Drosophila melanogaster: one gene and its partners. The protein of the gene in region 1 interacts with the protein of each later gene in a pairwise test. Each region holds a gene or a part of one and is shown on either strand. Other genes may lie near its edges. The genes, in order: CG7135, CG13358, CG10283 and CG1504.

Region 1 (4,099 bases):
TTAGGATTTATAATGCCAAGCCTTGGTTTAACTAACATAAAATCTTAATGCCAGATGAAATATTGAAATAACCAGTGGAGTTGCACTTGAACTCATAAGGAGCGTTGCGCCGATAGCTGTAGTCGATAGTGCCGAACAGTGCCATCACTAGCCGCTAAAGTGGCAATATTCACTGCGGTTTCTACTTTAGCATAAACAAATTGAATTCTGTCTCCATGGAGAAGGTGGAGGCGGTAACAGTGTCCAATGTTGATCCCTATAGGCGGATCCTAAACAAGGTGGTGTCCCAGCTGCTATTGGACAAGGGGGCCGGCCAAGCGAGCAACCACAGCCTGGAGACGCTCACCCAGATGCTGCAGGCGTGTAAGTTGACATTGTGATTACCATTTTGTACTAGGATAATCATTTAGCACGCCATTCCAGTGATCTGGGAGATCGGCAATTCGGCGCATAACTACTGCGAGCTAAGTGGACGCACGATGCCCACCGTGGGCGATGTCAGTTTGGCCCTGATTAACATGGGCATTTCGATCTCCAATTTGGATCCGTACATGCGCAAGGAGACGCACGTGCCCATTCCACTGCCCCCACAGCAGACGCAGCAGCGCCCGCTGAGTCTGCTGCAAGCGGGCATCAAGGCCCCGCATCCCCACTACGTGCCCAGCTACTTCCCTCCCATGCCCGATCCGCACGCCTACATACGGACGCCCACGCACAAGCAGCCCGTAACAGAGTACGAGGCCATCAGGGAGAAGGCCGCCTGCCAGAAGCGGGACATCGAGAAGGCGCTCACAAAGTTCCTCTGCAAGACCACGGAGACGAACAACCTCTTTCCCACCGAGGACAACATGTTTCCTTGTAAGAGGCACCATAATCATCCAGCGAACAATAATTAATAACCATTTCCTTTCAGTAATTGCCTGCAAACCGGCCTTTCCTCCCTATGCAGCCGCTTTAAATCCCACAGATCAGGTGTTTGACTTCGAGGAGCTGGAGTACCACTATCTGGTGGCCAATCGCACAGAAGATGAGCCCAGCAAAGGTGCGTTTCTTTCAAATAGTCAGATGCCACGAGTGCTAACACTTTCCACCCTTTTAGACGACGGCGAAGAGGGCGATAGCGAAAACGAGGAGATGGATGGCGACAAATCCAAAGAGGAGAAGCCCGAGCTGGATATCAAGCCCAATTCCAACACAAACAAGGCCATTTTGGAGAACCCCAACATCGATAATCCCTATTTGCGGGCGGCTACTCTGCCCAAGCGATCCAAAAATTGCCCCACACCCGGAACCATGCCCAGCAGGAGTCTGGCCACCACGGCGCCAACGATACGAACGCCCTCCACTCTAGAGATAACCAAAACTAACCTTTAAGAGTAGCAGGCGTTTTTAATTATGGTTTGAAAATGTAAACACTCCTGTTTTCTTTAAATTTAAAAAATTAAAAAATTTAAAGTGTAGTTTTAGGTTCAAGGACTAATATATTTTATTTTATACTTACATATTTGGAATCTTTAAGTTTGAACTGAAGACATTGTATAGGGCCAATTTCCTCAAAATGGCATAATATTTCGTGTTATATATTTAAATAATAAAATAAATGGGTACTCCAGCAACGATCTGTGCTGGAAGATCTGCAAATCGGCTATGTTCTTCAATCTGCAAACCGCTAATCCAGCGGCAAATGCACTTCCATCAAGGCAATTGAGGAAGGTCCAGTCGTGCCCTGTCCATTAAGATCAATTAGGCAACAAATGAGGCATCGGCAAGTGCTCTCCGAGATTTTGCATAAAAAGCCGGCTGTTCACCGCCACAATTGCAATTTACGGATACACGATGTCGGACGCACTGGAGGAGCCACCATTGTACCTTACGCCGCAGTTCTTCAGGCGCACCCTGGAGCACGGATTGCAGCAGCTGGACCTGCAGGTCATCGGTGTCCAGCTGACCAATCTGACGCGTGGCGGGGAAAACTACTGCAGCAACATTTACCGAGCTCAGATTAAGTATCGCAATGCCGAGAGCTGCGCAATGGAGACATCCCTGATCGTCAAGTCCATGCCGGACGAGAAGCAGGCCATTCTGGCCCGCCTGCACATTTATAACAAGGAGACGCTTTTCTACATGCACATCAAGCCCAAGCTGGAGGCACTCATGTGGAGGGCGGTGGATAGTTTCAGCGCTTGGACTTTGGCTCCCAAGTGAGTTCTAAGCGGCAGTGTGTCTAGGATCCATGAGGAGTAACTTTCGTTTTTCTATTTGCAGGCACTACTATTCCACGACCCAGCCGGAGCAGACGATCATCCTGGAGGACCTTTGCGCCGCAGGCTATCAGTTGAAGTGCCGCCAGCTGGGTCTGGACTTTGACCACGCCGCTCTGGTGATGGCCAAACTGGCCGAATACCATGCCCTCACCATGGTCATGGCCGAACGGGAGCCAGAAACCATTGTGGACCGCTATCCCTTCGGTCTGCTCCACATGGATGCCATCAATTCGGAGCCCTTCAAGCTGCTCTTCGGCACTCAGCTCCTAAAGCTGGCCGCTCTGGTCGGTGACTGTGAGGGATTCGGTGGGATCACCACAAAGCTCTACCGCTACCACGAGCACTTCACCGAACGAGTCCTGAAGGCGGTGTACCCACTGCGCGGCAACCATAACGTGCTCAATCACGGCGATCTTTGGGTGAACAACATATTCTTCAAGTACGATGCGGAGTACACGGTGCAGCAGGTGAAGATTGTAAGTACCAAAAGGTTGGCCACAAAAATTGAGGCTTCCAGCAATCTCCAATATTAGATTATTTATTTCTTCATAAACCAACTAAGAACTAGCAGCTAGTAGCTAGTGTTTATATCAGAATTGACTGATCCTTTAATGCCCTTTTTACTGCCCCTTCAGATTGACTTCCAGCTGTGCTTCTACGGCAGCCTGGGCTTCGACATCAACTACTTCCTGAACACCAGCTTGGAACTGGAGGTGCTACGTGACCGGCGGCAGGAGCTTGTCGACATCTACTACAGGTCCCTGGTGGACTGCCTGAAGCATCTGCCCTGGTCCAAGGAGCTGCCCAGCTATGAGGATATCATGGATGAAATCAGAAAGCGCGAAGCCTACGGTTTCTTTGTGGCTTTCGGATTCTTCCCGCTGATGAGCATGATCGGTGTGGACTCCGAGGACAACTCACTGAAGAACTTTCACGACGAGACATTCGCCAGGCAGAAGGTGCAGCTCATGTTCGAAGGAAACACTCGCACGCTGGAGAGCCTCAAGTGCACCTTGAAACGTCTGGACGAGTTGAAACTGTTCGACTAGGCGGTATATACATAGTTCGTAAACACATTTTTTTTTTGTCTATTTTCAAATAAATTATAAAGGCCTTGTTGAATTTGTACATGTTGCAAAGCATGTTCCAATCAAACCAAAACCCATTCTATTATAAACAAAAAAGCACGATGTAGATTAGTGTCGTGACTATCAGATACCCCTTAAAAATGCACGATAATACCATTACAATACAATATGCAATAAACTTTTTGGCATACATTTTCAATATCGCTGTCTTTTCATTCAAAACTATACTGTATTTATGATATTCGAGATCGTGAGATTTCGATCCCCTCCTGAAAATCTCAACCATTTTAAAGATTATTTCGCTCAGTGTTTGTGTGCAAAAGATGATTTTGGGCATGGCAAGGTAGAAAGAATGTTCGTTTTTTTTTTTTGTAATTTAATTTAATTTACATTAAAAAATATAATTTGTAAATAATGAAATATAATAAATAATTCATCAAGGCGTTCAGATGTTTGGCTGTTGTTTTGAATCGTTGATCTGAATTATTTATAAGCAGTTGAGTTTGAGTTTGAGTCTGAGTTTGATTTTGATTTTGAGTTAATTTAGTTGTTGCTGTTGTTGTTTATTGACTTCATTTCTGATCAAATCCATTGTGGACACATATATATGGCGAGATATATACATGCATATATATTTGCGGATATATATATATATTAATAGATTCATATAAATTATATTGCTTCAGATAATTGTTGTAAATAATTTCAATTATTGTTTAGGGCGGGAGTCACGGGTCAGTGGACACT
Region 2 (3,799 bases), about 17 Mb from region 1:
CATCGAGCCGGGGAGTGGGTACCCAGCTTGCGGAAGAGCATCTTAGCCTGGTTTTGGTAGTCCAGTATGCTGCGTCCGCTCTGAAAGTGAAAGCGACTTAGTTGCGGGAGCGGAACGGAATGCAACGTATTAGAAAGTGATGCACACGGGTACCTGCTCGTCATCCTGCATGGTCCCCACCAGAGGAAGGCCATCGATGACCCTGGCTATCATGGTCAGCAGCGCCATGGCTTCTGCTGTTCCTGGTTACGATTGCTCGCGGAACTACGGGGCTGCGTCTCAAGTCTTCTTGGCCACGGCTGCACTCTGCCGTCGCCTCCTTCCACTGGCTGCTACTTATTCCGATGTGGATCCGCTGCAGTCCAGTCACCAGTGTGTGAAGTTTGTGTCCGGTCGTCCTCTTCCACTTCTTGGATTTCACAACTCAGCCGATCGGTCGGTGCTTGCCGCAGTGCTCCTGCGATGCCCGGGACTTCCAAATGGACTCTGCCTCGAATCGGGAACGTTCGCTGCTACCATGAAAACTGTGTTGCAACGTCGCGGCGGGCGGGTGTCTGGGATTGGAGTGGATTGGAGGTTTCTGTGGATGTTTGTTGCAATGTAACCACGTCACCGGTATGTCCGTGTAAATATACCGAATGGTGCGAGGCATACCGAATACCGCAGAGTATCTCAGAGTACCGACCGCCAACGGTCACATTAACGGAAGTCCATTATACCATTCGTTTCTTCGTTTCTTTAAATGCACGATATGGAAATACGCTTTCAACTCGTTTTCAAGCCAGCATGCCCCTGAAAATGGCGCTTTCGAGTTTCCGGGCTTTCCCGCAAAGCTATTTTCCCAGGTCTACAGCTTTGACAGCTTGCGCTCTGCTGTAATGTGGAGTTTGCTTTTTGTATGCGTGTGTTGTACACAGGATGCGGATTAAGGATCCCCAGAAGTTCAATAGAAGTACAATACTTCGATTCACCCATGAACCTGGCGCCCAGATGCATTGTTCTATAGCTGTTTTGAGTCCCAATCCGACCAATTGGTCTTTGGTATTTTTATTTTTTATATTGGCAATCGAGTTGCGAATATATTATTTCAAATATTTAAATATAAATAAATATTTATTTAAATTATTAACCAACATAAATCGAAATCCCTGGCACGTCGCGCCGCTTTCGCAGACTCAAATCCGCTGGCGCAGATGCCGGAAGTGGGTTGGACCCCCCAAAAGTCGATGACCAAGCCCAACCGGTTCGCCCGCGAAGACCATCCTCTGCATGGACATCCACATCCATCCCCAGAAGGAAAAGTGGTTCGCCCGCGAAACCGGACTTGGACTTGAGGCAGGGACCCAACTATATGGACTACCTGTGGTACTTGGCGATGGAGCTGCGTGCGAATGTGCGTTTCAAGCGACCACCGGAAAAATCTTTGCACTGGGAAAATAATTCATATCGAATGCGACTTATTCATCTATGTATATTATGAATTGAAGCCCTGCAAGCGAATGCGAATAACCATTCCCATTTCTGCTCATACCGAAGAATGCTAAGATATACACAAGTTTGTGATCAAAGCGGGAAAGCTTATGACATTATTTAAAATGCTTGTACTGTGATCTTAAATCGAATGCATTTCAATTAACTCTGAGCCCATCGAGGACTGCGGTCAACCTATTTTCTCATCGTGTGATCGGATCACCCGCAGCGGAATGCGTGCGCTTCCGTTTTGCTCGGCTTGGCCTCCTTCCTCGTTCCGTTGAAAGCAGGTATGTATATATAAGCCACTGCTCCACCTAGAGGCTCCACAATACAAAGTCAGTCATGGCCGGGTCAGTTCGTGCGACGCTCCTGGGTCTCCTCATGCAGATCCTGTGCAATGGGCTGGCTGGTCAGCAGCTGCTCCTCACACGTCCCCAAAGGAGCCTGTTCGAGACTCCGCTGGGTCACGTAGAGCAAGTGGAACAAGTGCCCTCTTTAGGCTGGAATAGTGTTGGTAGTGGACTCGGAGTGGGCGAGTGGCCCTACAGCCCCGTTGGTCTCGGCCACATGAGCAAGGATGAGCTGCTGACCCTGCTGGAGGCCTGGAAGGAGGTCGAGGAGGAATCGGCCACAACAACGACTGCGTCGCCAGCGGATGCCAGCACACGTAGACCTCCTCCGCCTCCACTGCCACCACCACCACCTCCTCCGCCACGACCCACACCCATACCAGTCTCCGTTGCAATCCCGTCACCGGCTGTTCCGCCCTCCGGCACTCCCATTACAGTGCGGCTCCCAGCCTTTGTGCCTGTGCGTCTGGCTGCCGTGTTTACTCCGCTTGCCGGTGGACAAGCTGATAGTGCTGTTCCGTCTGCCAACGGAGTCGGAGGGGCTGGAGGAGATGATTTGTCCACCGATGACGTGACAGATGATGACGGCGTCTCTACCCGGCTCTTTCGCTTTTTGCCCATGCCAGGAGCTCGAACGAGACCGCAATCCAATTCACAGCCCAGGCAGCAATTTGTGGTGAGGAACACCCTGGACAGCGTGGATGCGGGCACTGCCCCTGTCAGGCAGCAGATTAAACCGGAAGTCCAGCCCAAGGCGACTGCTCCGCCTTCCATTCCCAAGTTCCCTGGCCACCCAACTCCCTTCTTCCGTCCCAGGTAAGCAGAAACGAAAGCGCTAGAGGTGGTCATCTGGGCAGCCGGCTCATTTCCCTCCATTTTTGCTCTAGATTTGGTGTGCCACCGAGTCTGGCCAACGCTCGATTCGAGCTGGTGCCCTCTTCCCAAATCATCGGCGACTGGCGGGTGTGAGCCTGTGCATCACTTGACTGACCAAAACGGAGTACCTTCCGGCGAACCAACCAGGATCGAGCTTTTGAAGGAGGCTGTCTTGCTAGGCTGTTTCCACTGTTGCTTATGTATTTTATTTTTTATTGAATAATAATTTTTTTTTTTTTTTTTGTGTCCAAATAGAATATGCAATCAGTCATAGATTAGCGACATACTAACTGCTTTCGAATTGAAGTAGGCACTTTTTCTGCTCCAATGGCCATGTGAAGCCATATATGTACATCTATTTGTATGTCCTCTGAAATCGCTCAGCTTTTAAAACAAAGAGCAGTCTGAAGAGTACATATAAAGATAGCGATCAGCCCGAGTATTTAGCCATAACAATTTATAGTATTTTTCGAATCCTAAGATTGGAATATTCAGTTCAATCGAATATGTATGCAGTTTCCCCTCACACAGTTTTATAAGTTGGCCTGAAGTTTTTGTACAAAAAAATATAAATTTTATATTTAGAAATGAAATGCTCTGCATCTTTTAATGCCCTCTGCGACGTGGGAACGCCGCGTCCGAACTTGCAGCGGTTAATTCCCTATGTCGAGCCGCAACAGGACGACGAGGAGGATATGGTAGTGTGGTGCCGGTCAAATCTGGATTTGGCCTGCTCGCTCAGCGAGATGCGCATACGCTGTCCAGAGCACTTCGATGTCGCAACCGTCGTGGGGGTAAATTCGCATACCGGAAAACTAATCACCCACTTTAATCACCGGAAACTGGGGGATGTGGACCTGGCGCCTCACGCGTTGCTTAGCCGGCGAGACAAGTTCATGGACATTTGCCAGAAACAAGTAATGACGAGTCAGGGCTGCTTGGCGTCAGAGGGAACACCAATCCCCGCCGACCTGGAGGTCACTTGGCAGAGTCATAGCATCATTGACTGCCTTGCTCTCCGCAAGGTGCGTGCAGAGATGAATTTAGCTGATCAGAAGGCGGCCAAGAATCTTGTGGATCGCGTTGAGGTGCACCACAAG
Region 3 (4,828 bases), on another chromosome or scaffold:
CCGCTGAAGCAACTGTAATTGAAATACAATTAAGTCCAGCTGGAAAAACCTGAACTTGCATAGAACCCGCCAAATTACCCTATGGATCGTGAGTTAATCTGAGGTAATCTTTTGGAAATCTTTGAATTCTACTTGCCTGAACATTCCTTGGCGCACAGAAACGCATCGTAGTTGTGGGTTTGATTATTGCAGACCTCGATGCACGGATGACATCTCTCCGTTGCAACATAGCAAAATTCATTGACCGGATGACAGATCGTGCCATGGCAATCCCTACTCTCTCCATTGGCCGCAGCTACCAAGGAAACACTTGGAATCAACGGAACTCCACCAATGGAGAGCGATAGGGCACTCAACTTCCTGACCGACATTTGAGGTATTTTATAATGTGTGCTTAATTTACTTGTTATGGGTATTTGGTTTTGTAGCGAGCTCGTTCCGCTAAGTTTGATCGAAGTTTACATTAGCACTGTTACAACTTTTTCCTCGTTTTAAGGTTTTTGTTTTGTTATTTTTAAACGTATCCAAAGTATGATTCATACACCAGTAACGCGGCCCAGACGCTAACTGACTAACTTCTTTTTTAATTGCTGGCTTCTGGAGTCTGAGTATTTTGCGTTGCCCTTATACGTATAATCACATGTGTATTGGTGCAAACGAGTTTATCTTAGCCAAGTTTTACAGCAGTTTTCATAGTATTCCGGTTAGTTTCTCAACATTTTCACACATTTTTCTAGGGGATGTCCGGACACTTAATTATTAGGTTTAATTCTGTATTTTTTACACCAATATATTATATATTATATGATTTAATACGCTTTTTAACTTTAAACGTTTTTAGCCATCGTTCAGCGACGCGTTTTGAGCCACATTCAACTCGTTACTGACTGGAATGCCGCGATCGCTCGCTGTTACCAACAACTCAGCACTCGCACCGAGGCATCTATCTCAAATACACACTCATTCGCACCGTGACTTGACTTTTGTTTACCTTTTTCACGTCGATTGTAGATGCAAAAGTATCTGTATATCTATGCTGTGGCAAGTAATACAAGTATTTGTGTGTCTGCGATCGACTGTTTATTTTGCGCTATGAGTGAAATACTCCCGACTTCGGCATACTTTGAACCCGGCTTCAGTTTCTTAAATTTCGGCTGCGATTTGACTTATAAAAATAAATAACAACGAGAAGGTAGTGCCTCAAGAAGTATTTTATAGAGACTACTTGCTCACTCACTTTATTACCCAAGTTATCAATTAAAATAATAATAAAGTTTTATATGAATAAACGACAATATGTTTAAGATAACTTTTATTGAAATTCCCAGTATCCCAATATGAACTATACGTTTAAAGTTTTTTTTACAACATTACCTATTATTTAAATTTTAATTATAATACCTTACTTTCACAACTAACTAGCAGTCGTGATATTTATAAACAAGTTTCTAGCTACACAATTTTTATCTAATTAAATATGATTTTGGAATTTTTTAAGTGTAGCATTTGTTGAGGATTGAAACCTCGCTTAGCTAACGCAATGGTGTATGTCTTTACTAAACAGCAAATGCCATATACATAAATAAAAGAAATACTGAAATTCGTTGCTCCCAACTCATTTTGGAAAATTAAATAATAATAAAAAACCATATGTACATATATACCGTTTAATGAATTTATAAATCAATAGTAAAATTATAACTTTTTGTATTTAGATTTGAAATCTTTTTGAAACTTGGCAGCACTGTTTTGAGTTATTCTCTCTCCTCTCTCTTATTCTCTCTTCCATTGCAGTGCCGCTTTCGAGATACATTTGTATCGGCTTCCAGTTCCAGCGCCGCTTGCAGTATTATTGTGTCTTCCAGTTAGCTGGACTGTATGGCCAAGTCAAACAACATCCATTCGCTGAGCGGCTTTCGCTGTTGAATGAGCTGTTTTGCTGCTTTCGTGGAACGACGGCCGCCGGTTCGTTGCGTATCTTTGGGATACAATACCTAAATCAAATCGAATTTTGAATTGCAGCTGTCGTTGTTGCGCGCGTGTTGATGGTGGAAATTGTGGAATTATAAGCATTATATCTCGTGTGGAAGTGTGAAAGTGAAATAGTTGCACCGAGAGCGACGCAATTAGATGAAAATATAGTTTACTCACGCTCTGTATCGCCGCATCTATGTATCTATTTTGCCAGCCCGCTTCAACAAGTAAACCAACATAAATTAAAAATCAGTGGAGTGGAAGGCGCGTCCTTGAGCTACCCAATTTAAACACCTGTTTTAGAACGAGATACAGATATTCTATAGAGATTTGAGCCACCGAAAGAGACAGCCAGAGCCTGTTAGAAAGAGAAGGGTGGCGAGAGGAGGAGAGAGATGAATAATTTCACAACCACAACAGCAGCCGCACCACCAAAGGAAGCGCTGCCCCGATCAGGACATGTTAATGAGGGTAAGCATGGGTTAAGAACCGAACCGAAGCAAACCATTTCGAAATTGGTTGAACATGAACAATTTCGTACGGGGCCTTGGATAATTGGAAATTGATTGGGTTTGAGTGTAGCTATTGAGATGAAGGGGCTTTGGAATTGGGGCGGGGGGGGCATGAGCACCACATAGAAGTGATTAATTTGAGGTCTTTTAAAATTCCTCTTCAACGTTTTCTTCCCCTGACTTGGTATTTCTTTAACGATATGACCTCTCTAGCGATCAAATTAATTTTTAACAAATTTGTTGTATTTGTTGTCATTTATTGTTTCCATTTATTCATAAAGAAAGTCAGGCCCATTGTTTCGTTGAGAATTCTTCACAAAAAGTTCATTAAATATATATTGTCTTTACCCTTCTTGCAAAATTGAATATAAATCAAATTTGGAAATTAAACAAATATTTTTGTCTAATATATGCAAATATAAAAGGTTTTAGTCCACACATTTTATTCAATTTGGCATTTCTTTCAAGACATCACGAATTATAAATGTTCTAACGCTTTTCATACCCCATTCCAATATACATATCCCATTAATTCCACCGATCCGATATCTTTGAATGCCGACATCAGCCAAAAAAAAAAAACAAACACTCAAGTTCTCAGAACTTCTCCACTGTCGTTTGCGCCTTGGGGCTTAAATATAAGTTTTTTTCTGTTGATTCAGATGTAAACAAGCCATATCGAGCACGTTTTCCCTTATCGCATTCTACTTGACCTTATGTAATAATCAAAACATTTGCATAGAAAAAATGTTACAACATGAAAAGCTAGCTTATTCACCTCTTTGAATAAGCTCAATTAATTGAAAGCGAATACGAAATGCTCGATGACAAAGATTTGGCTGTTGTGCAAATCTCTTTTTTGGCTACTATGTGAACAATATTTGTTGTTATGCTAATGAAACAGATTGCCCAAAGAAGAAAAAATAATACACAGAAAACGCGAGCCGAATAAAACTTTCTCCACTCCCAGTAACAATCACAAGAAGTTGGCGAGTTTCCTCATTTTTTGGGGGGTTTTGAAAGTCTTCATGAGACGATAAACAAAAACAAAGACTTCCAGTCAGCAGCCGAAGAAACCGCATAGCGCAGACCAACGACCGAAAGCGGACAAAGCTGTGAAGAAGAGATTTCAGTTGAAAAATAAACAAACACCGAGCTCTTATATAGTTTTCTTTTAGAGCAATTGAGGGGAAGCCGAGCGATCCCCGCTACAGAAAGGGAAAATACATACTCATTTTCTTCTTTTTGGAGGTGCAAAAAATGATTGCCGCTAGCACTTTCCATTTAATGAATGCACCTGAAGAAAAATCAGTTATCTACCATTATAAAGATTTTGTTTTATAAAAGTATATACACATTATACTAGTCTAATTATATATATTGTAAAATAATGATTACAATAGAAGCGCAAATAGGGTAGGAAAAAATAAGTAATACTTGAAGATAAAATTCCAGCTTGATTAATAATAATAATATTTTCAGAAAAGATTTTATTCTTTATGTGTAAAGAAAATCTCGTTGAACTCAGAAATGTATTAAATAAGGTTTATATTAAAAATATGTTTGCTAATTGTTTTCAAAAAACTGTGGCTATTTGAAGAACCATAGACCACCGAATTCGATAAGTTTTTCGCACAGTGCAGAAATGCAAAAAGGCTGTTTCCCAGCATTTGTATCTTAAAGATGCAGCGCGTGCAGCAGGCAACAGCTGACGGTTAGCCGAGGGGATTGCAGCCGCTTCATTTGCGCCCAAGCACGCATGACAAAAGACCCCCACAAAGAGTCGGCCCTTGGTTGGAAATAGCCGTGCCTCCGACTGAAACTTACTCAACTGCTGGCCTCTTTTTTCCCTTTTTTTTTTTGCCAACCAGCCCGACTGACTGACAAGTGAAGGGGCTTCTTGATGAAGAGGGGGCCAGGATAGAAAGGGGATATCGGGGAGCAGCAGCCCCAGCGGCAAGAGAAACAGCAGCAGTTGCATGACGAGCCGCCTGAATGCAGTTTATTTCTTTCTTGCATTTTTATCGCTGCATGCCAGGAATGATTCACTTGCCAGGCCACGATGACAGGATGTGCGAGTGCCAGGAAGGAGGTCTCATCCATTTGGACTTGGCTCTTAAAATTTCTATGGCGATAGCACTTAAAGGAGGCCCAAGCCCCACTCAGCTCCTCTCCTTATTATGGCGCTTTGTCATGACTTGACTTGCGTTGGCCTACAAACAACAATTTTTCAAGAAGCCCAAATAATGGAGTTACCAAGGAGTCCACCCCAAGTGCTGGTGTTTACAAATGAAAGTATGAATAACTAAATTGAGCTATGCAGAATATTTCACTTGCAACTA
Region 4 (5,041 bases), 2.2 Mb from region 1:
ATCGACTGAGCGGACTCGTGTCCGTGTCCCTCATTCAAATTTTCAATATTTTCCATGTGTGCTGCCGGTCGTTATCACGCATTTCCTGCCATTTGCAACCTCCACATCCACATCTACATCTACATCTGCATCTACATATCCATTGCCATTGGCATTGGATTGGTAACGGGAATTGCAGCCGCAAGACACTGGCTACGTGGCCAGCAACCGACTTGACCAATTTGCCGCCCCTGCGGTTCCGGGTTGAGCGCATTAGGCCGCACACTGGGCCGCTGGTCCTGGCTCCTCGCTGGGAATTTCCACTCCGCATAAATGCAAAACCGATCTTGAGGGCACCCCAAACCGAATCGAAGTACAATGGCATGTCAGTTGGGGCAGCATATGGGGCATATATGCCACGTATGACACGGGCTGAAGGTTAGGGGGTCAGCAGTTCAATCAGTGGCACGACGCAGGATACTTACCACACATGTGGACTCATTTCCATATGTGTGCGATACCACTTTCACAGATTAAAATATGATTAGAGTTGGGGTAAGGGTTAATAACCTTCTGAGGAAGAAATATATTTGCCTAACATTCCATTTAGACAAAAACAAACTTGAAATTAATTAATTATCTATCAAAATAGAATCAATTCTTCGGCACAAGACTGCGTATCTACCCATCTCCTTCTACATATCATAGCTTGAAAATTTCAAAGCTATCAATCACATTTGATTTTCAAGCTGACAAATTCCATCTCAAACATAGAATTATTCCTATATAATGCTGGTACAAATGGTAGTACAAACGAGTGCGCATTTCAAATATAGTATAGTATAGTTCTATCTATATATATATATAGATAGTATGTTCAACTATCAAGCTCTAAATTTAACATTTCCTTCAGCTTACATTTCGGAAAGCTTTATGTATAACAAAATGATATCAATCTAACTTTTAAAGTATGATACAACTGCCGAACTTTAGTTCAAGACAAGTAAGAATTTGTATAGCTACTCAATGAACCTTGAATTGAAATAGCCAATAATGCCTTAGGTGATCTCGATAACACTACTGAACATATACTGATTTCACAAACTCATCGCGCACGCCTTCGCAGTACCAATACCCTGCTGATGATCAGTGACAACTGGCTTCCTATCTGACTGACCCCGCCATAATCCTAGTGGCCATATCCGCTGGGGAGCAACAGCATCGCATTCGGCTGTTAATGCCACTGATTGCTAATAAATTGAAAACCATTTCAGCACAGACACGACCCGAAGGCAATAGGTGGCAGAGGATTTGCACTCGACGCCGGACACACCAGCCATCCTCGCATGGGGATCAGAAGCAGAGCAGAGGCAGAAGCAGGAGCAGGTGGACGGACGGGAATTCGAATCGAATCGCAATCGGAATCGGAGTCGAAGCCCCGTCAATGAATATGCAAAAACAAGGCAAACAGTGAATAAAATCAAAATAAAAACCCATTTATCAACACGCATGGCGTGGTCCAGGATGAGGACGCAGTCTATCCATCGCCGGCGTTGGAGGTGGACAAATGTGAGGCGATTGCTGGTGAAGCCGTTGGCCACGTGTTGGCCAAAAGGGAAAAGGTCACAAAAGCAGGTTAAGCTGCTTTTTTAAATAAAGCGCACAGCACGTTAATGCCCGCTGGCAGGACGAAAAGAGAATCCCGCCAGGACGCGGGGTCTCATCCATAATCCTGTGCCACTTACAGCCGGGCCACATGCGAACCACTCCGCTGGCGACCAACGACTGCGGACCACTGCTCCAGCCGGTTCCAGCCGAACGCCACCGACGTCAAACGATTGCCTGAGCCGAGCGGTCACGAGAGGACAACGAGGCTACTTCGGATACGGACTCGGCTAGCGCCGAGCTACCCGATTGGTGACGCCTTCGGCTTCGGCTGGCAATGCGGACAGTGGCGCCGTAATCCGTTCGCTGGATTTTTTGAATTAGTTGCGTGTGGTAGCTTGTTGACATCAGTACCGGGTACCGGATGCGGATGCGGATACGTGCGTGGCCCGCAAATCTCTCGCCAAATCTCGACAAGTCCTAACTTGACGCGACCCGCAGTTCATAGTTTAGAGTTCAGCTGTTCAGCGGCTGGTGTGTGACATCCCCAACTGACATCTTTTTTGTCATCACTCTGTTCTGTCCAGCTGTGTTTCGGTTTTTTTTTTTTTGTTTTATTGGTCCGGGAAATCACGTGTGTGTTGTTTTGAGTGCGAGGTGAGTGATTTCGTTGGTTTTTGTTTGGCTGGGGCCCCCGCAACAGTTGCCAGTTGCGCTTTAAACTACTCCTCAAACTGAGCCGCAAGCCGAACCATCCAAACCTCCAATCCAAACCAAAGCAAACCCAACCGAGCCCAAACCAAAACCAAACTAAGCCCGGCTGATAACTGGCTAAAACCTGACCTGCGGTCCTCGATTGCCTGCTGTTGGTGGAAGGTGGACGGTGGCGGATGGTCGATGTTGGAAGTTGGATGGTCAACGGTTGTCCGTTCAGCTAGTTTTGTGGTCGCTTTGACGTGGTCGCGGGCAATTTGAAAGCCAACACCGAAACGCCGATTACGATAAGTGCAGTCGAATTGAAAGGAGGCGGAGTGGAAATGGGATGGGAATGCGAATGCGAATGCGAATGGAAATAGGAATCATCATAATCATCAAGAGCAGCAGCAGTAGCAGGAGCAAGCAGGAGCAGACTGCAAACTGCAAAGTGCATATTCGCTTTCCGCCTGATGTTGTATTTCATTTTGCCATTCGCATTCGCATTTCGCTTTCTCATCCTTTGTCGTCCTTTTTAGTTTTAGTTGCCAGCAATTGCCGCTGCCAGTTTGCAATTAAAGACCAGCTCCATTCAAATGGCAAAAGTGAGGGGCTGAGGCGCTGAGGGACTAGCTGAAGGACTAACCGAGGGATAACCGAGGGATAACCGAGGGATAACCGAGGCATAACCAGAGGCAAAATATTAAATACTAAATGCCAGCTGCCAAGGGAAAGGCAGTTGCAGTTCAGCCCGCCTGTTGCCGTCGCCTGTCAGCATTTTGCTAAAGTCACTGTCCCACTCGCAGTCACAGTTGCCATCACCATCGCCATCACCATCGCCATCAGCATCAGCGCCAACACCAGCCCAGTCTCCCTCAGGTGTCCTGAGCGACCATCCAGCCACTTTGAGCGTGAACAGGTGAGTGACAATGTGAAAAGGGATCCTAAAGGGATGCTAGCCTGATCGCACAGGCTGATGCCATGTGGGAGGCCCATTCCCGAAAACAAACTGAGGCAAGAATAAAATAGAAATATAAGTGATCCTATGGGGTTTCCAAGCGATGTCATTTATAAAAATAAACCGACTTTCTTGGTACCTATAACTACTGTTACTATAAATTACGTTTATAAACACTATAAACACGTTTTTCCAAAAATGAGGTCGATTTTCTTTTACCTTTTCTTTAACTAGTATCCTAATTGGGTCAAAACTGAAAGTAATTATAATGCTCAGACGTTTTAAGCATGAATATTTAATTCGAGAAAAATGGCAGCCATCTGCTATAACAATTTTCAAAGCCAATAAAAGCTCATTAAAACTCTTCAAAGATTGTGCTACTTTAAACTGTCATTAGTAGTATAAAAATACATCATAAAAGTTTCAAATAATAAGTAAGGCCTATGGTATCGATCAATTTACTCTATTGTAAACAATTTGACAAATTTATAAAGTTTGTAGTCTTGGGATCAGCAGTGTGTTCCACTCATTATCTGTCGCCATTAACTGCGTCCTGTATACTGCTATCTATGGATGCTGTTGACTCGCACAAAAAGCCAGGATTGTCTGTTCCCTGAGGGAGTCACACTTTTGCCGCTTCGGGACATTTGTACACCTAATGCATAAAACAATGTATGTATGTTAATTTGCGCGAATACATAAATGTTGATATCTGGCTAAAAAAGAAATATACTCGGATAGTACGTTTCTAATTACTCTAAGCCTTATCCTGAAAATTGAGTTTGCTGGTAAGGATCCATCTCATATCTTGCCCTCCATAAATATTAGATCCATGATCATCGAATGTGAATATCTGTAAAAACCAAAAAAAAACCGCCTGCAGAGATGCCGATTCAACCAACCCCAGCCCTACTCAAAAAGCTCCATTTGGAAGATTTTTTCTTCCTCCTTTGACTCGGACTTCTCCTCGCTCTGTTGATCCTTATCCTTTTCTAGCAGGAAGATTGTCTCGCCAACGAACGGATTACTGCCTACCACTTCGACCTCATTCGAATTATCTTCGTCCTCGTCGCTCAGCATGAGCCGGTATGTAGGAAGCCCAAACTCTGAGGATTCTCCAAACATATCGTATTCCCTGGCCTCGTCGATGTCCTCGCCGTCGGACTCTACCTCTGAGCCCTCACTGTCGCCCTCACAGCAGAGGATCTCGTGGGCAAGCAGCGAAATAGTCTCTTCGCAGAAATTCTCCTGCTCCTCCTCCAAGTCGCTGTCTGATTCTGCCGACAGCAGACTGTACATGCTCGTCTGCGGACTGGTGTCGGGATCGGCCACTGTGCAGCTCTCATCTGGATCGGATGTGCGGTTCGCTATTAGTGGAAACACATTTTTCTAGATTGGTAATCACCTTCGCTATCGCTAGTATAGTCGTCGCTGGTTAGCTCACTCTCGCTAGTGGAAATATCCGAAACGTCCGCGTTTATGTTGATCTGGTCTCTGGAATTGGCAGGGTCGCTGGCCATGTTCGATTGTGTCTAATCCCGGCTCCTATATCTGTACGTCCATGTGCTGTATCTCTTAGTTTCAGACTGTCTGACTGTCTGACTGTCTGGCTGTCTCCTGGTGTGATGTGATTCTGATTCTAAACTTGTTTCCATGCGTGCTGGAAATGTTTTGCCCGGCAAATGCTACTGGGATTAGTTTTGGGTTTCGGGGCTTGGACTATAGATTCGAGATGGGTGCAGGAAGCGACACTGCCAGCACGTAATGTCCTGGGCGCTTCCTTCCAGGACGGCGAATTAAATTTTA

The links.
Region 2: the proteins of CG7135 (region 1) and CG13358 interact in a two-hybrid assay, tested with the Drosophila melanogaster proteins (one large-scale study listed by BioGRID).
Region 3: the proteins of CG7135 (region 1) and CG10283 interact in a two-hybrid assay, tested with the Drosophila melanogaster proteins (one large-scale study listed by BioGRID).
Region 4: the proteins of CG7135 (region 1) and CG1504 interact in a two-hybrid assay, tested with the Drosophila melanogaster proteins (one large-scale study listed by BioGRID).

The regions. Positions count from the first base shown.
Region 1 is NC_004354.4:18,101,845-18,105,943, forward strand, and holds CG7135 (uncharacterized protein), read left to right. Parts: upstream 1-1,808; 5' UTR 1,809-1,836; coding exon 1,837-2,201; intron 2,202-2,265; coding exon 2,266-2,740; intron 2,741-2,899; coding exon 2,900-3,313; 3' UTR 3,314-3,549; downstream 3,550-4,099. Other genes in the region: Taf8 (TBP-associated factor 8), read left to right, coding at 216-363, 424-858, 914-1,042, 1,100-1,374.
Region 2 is NC_004354.4:802,914-806,712, reverse strand, and holds CG13358 (uncharacterized protein), read left to right. Parts: upstream 1-1,791; 5' UTR 1,792-1,815; coding exon 1,816-2,639; intron 2,640-2,710; coding exon 2,711-2,792; 3' UTR 2,793-3,286; downstream 3,287-3,799. Other genes in the region: Sec22 (secretory 22), read right to left, coding at 1-80, 148-228; CG13359 (uncharacterized protein), read left to right, coding at 3,287-3,799.
Region 3 is NT_033779.5:18,481,511-18,486,338, reverse strand, and holds the start of CG10283 (uncharacterized protein), read left to right. Parts: upstream 1-1,825; 5' UTR 1,826-1,965; exon of another isoform or gene 1,966-2,022; 5' UTR 2,023-2,369; coding exon 2,370-2,445; intron 2,446-4,828. Other genes in the region: grnd (grindelwald), read right to left, coding at 137-371.
Region 4 is NC_004354.4:20,327,318-20,332,358, reverse strand, and holds the start of CG1504 (uncharacterized protein), read left to right. Parts: upstream 1-1,986; 5' UTR 1,987-2,241; intron 2,242-2,816; exon of another isoform or gene 2,817-3,196; intron 3,197-3,678; exon of another isoform or gene 3,679-4,144; coding exon of another isoform or gene 4,145-4,581; intron 4,582-4,640; coding exon of another isoform or gene 4,641-4,755; exon of another isoform or gene 4,756-4,915; intron 4,916-5,041. Other genes in the region: CG1631 (uncharacterized protein), read right to left, coding at 4,145-4,581, 4,641-4,755.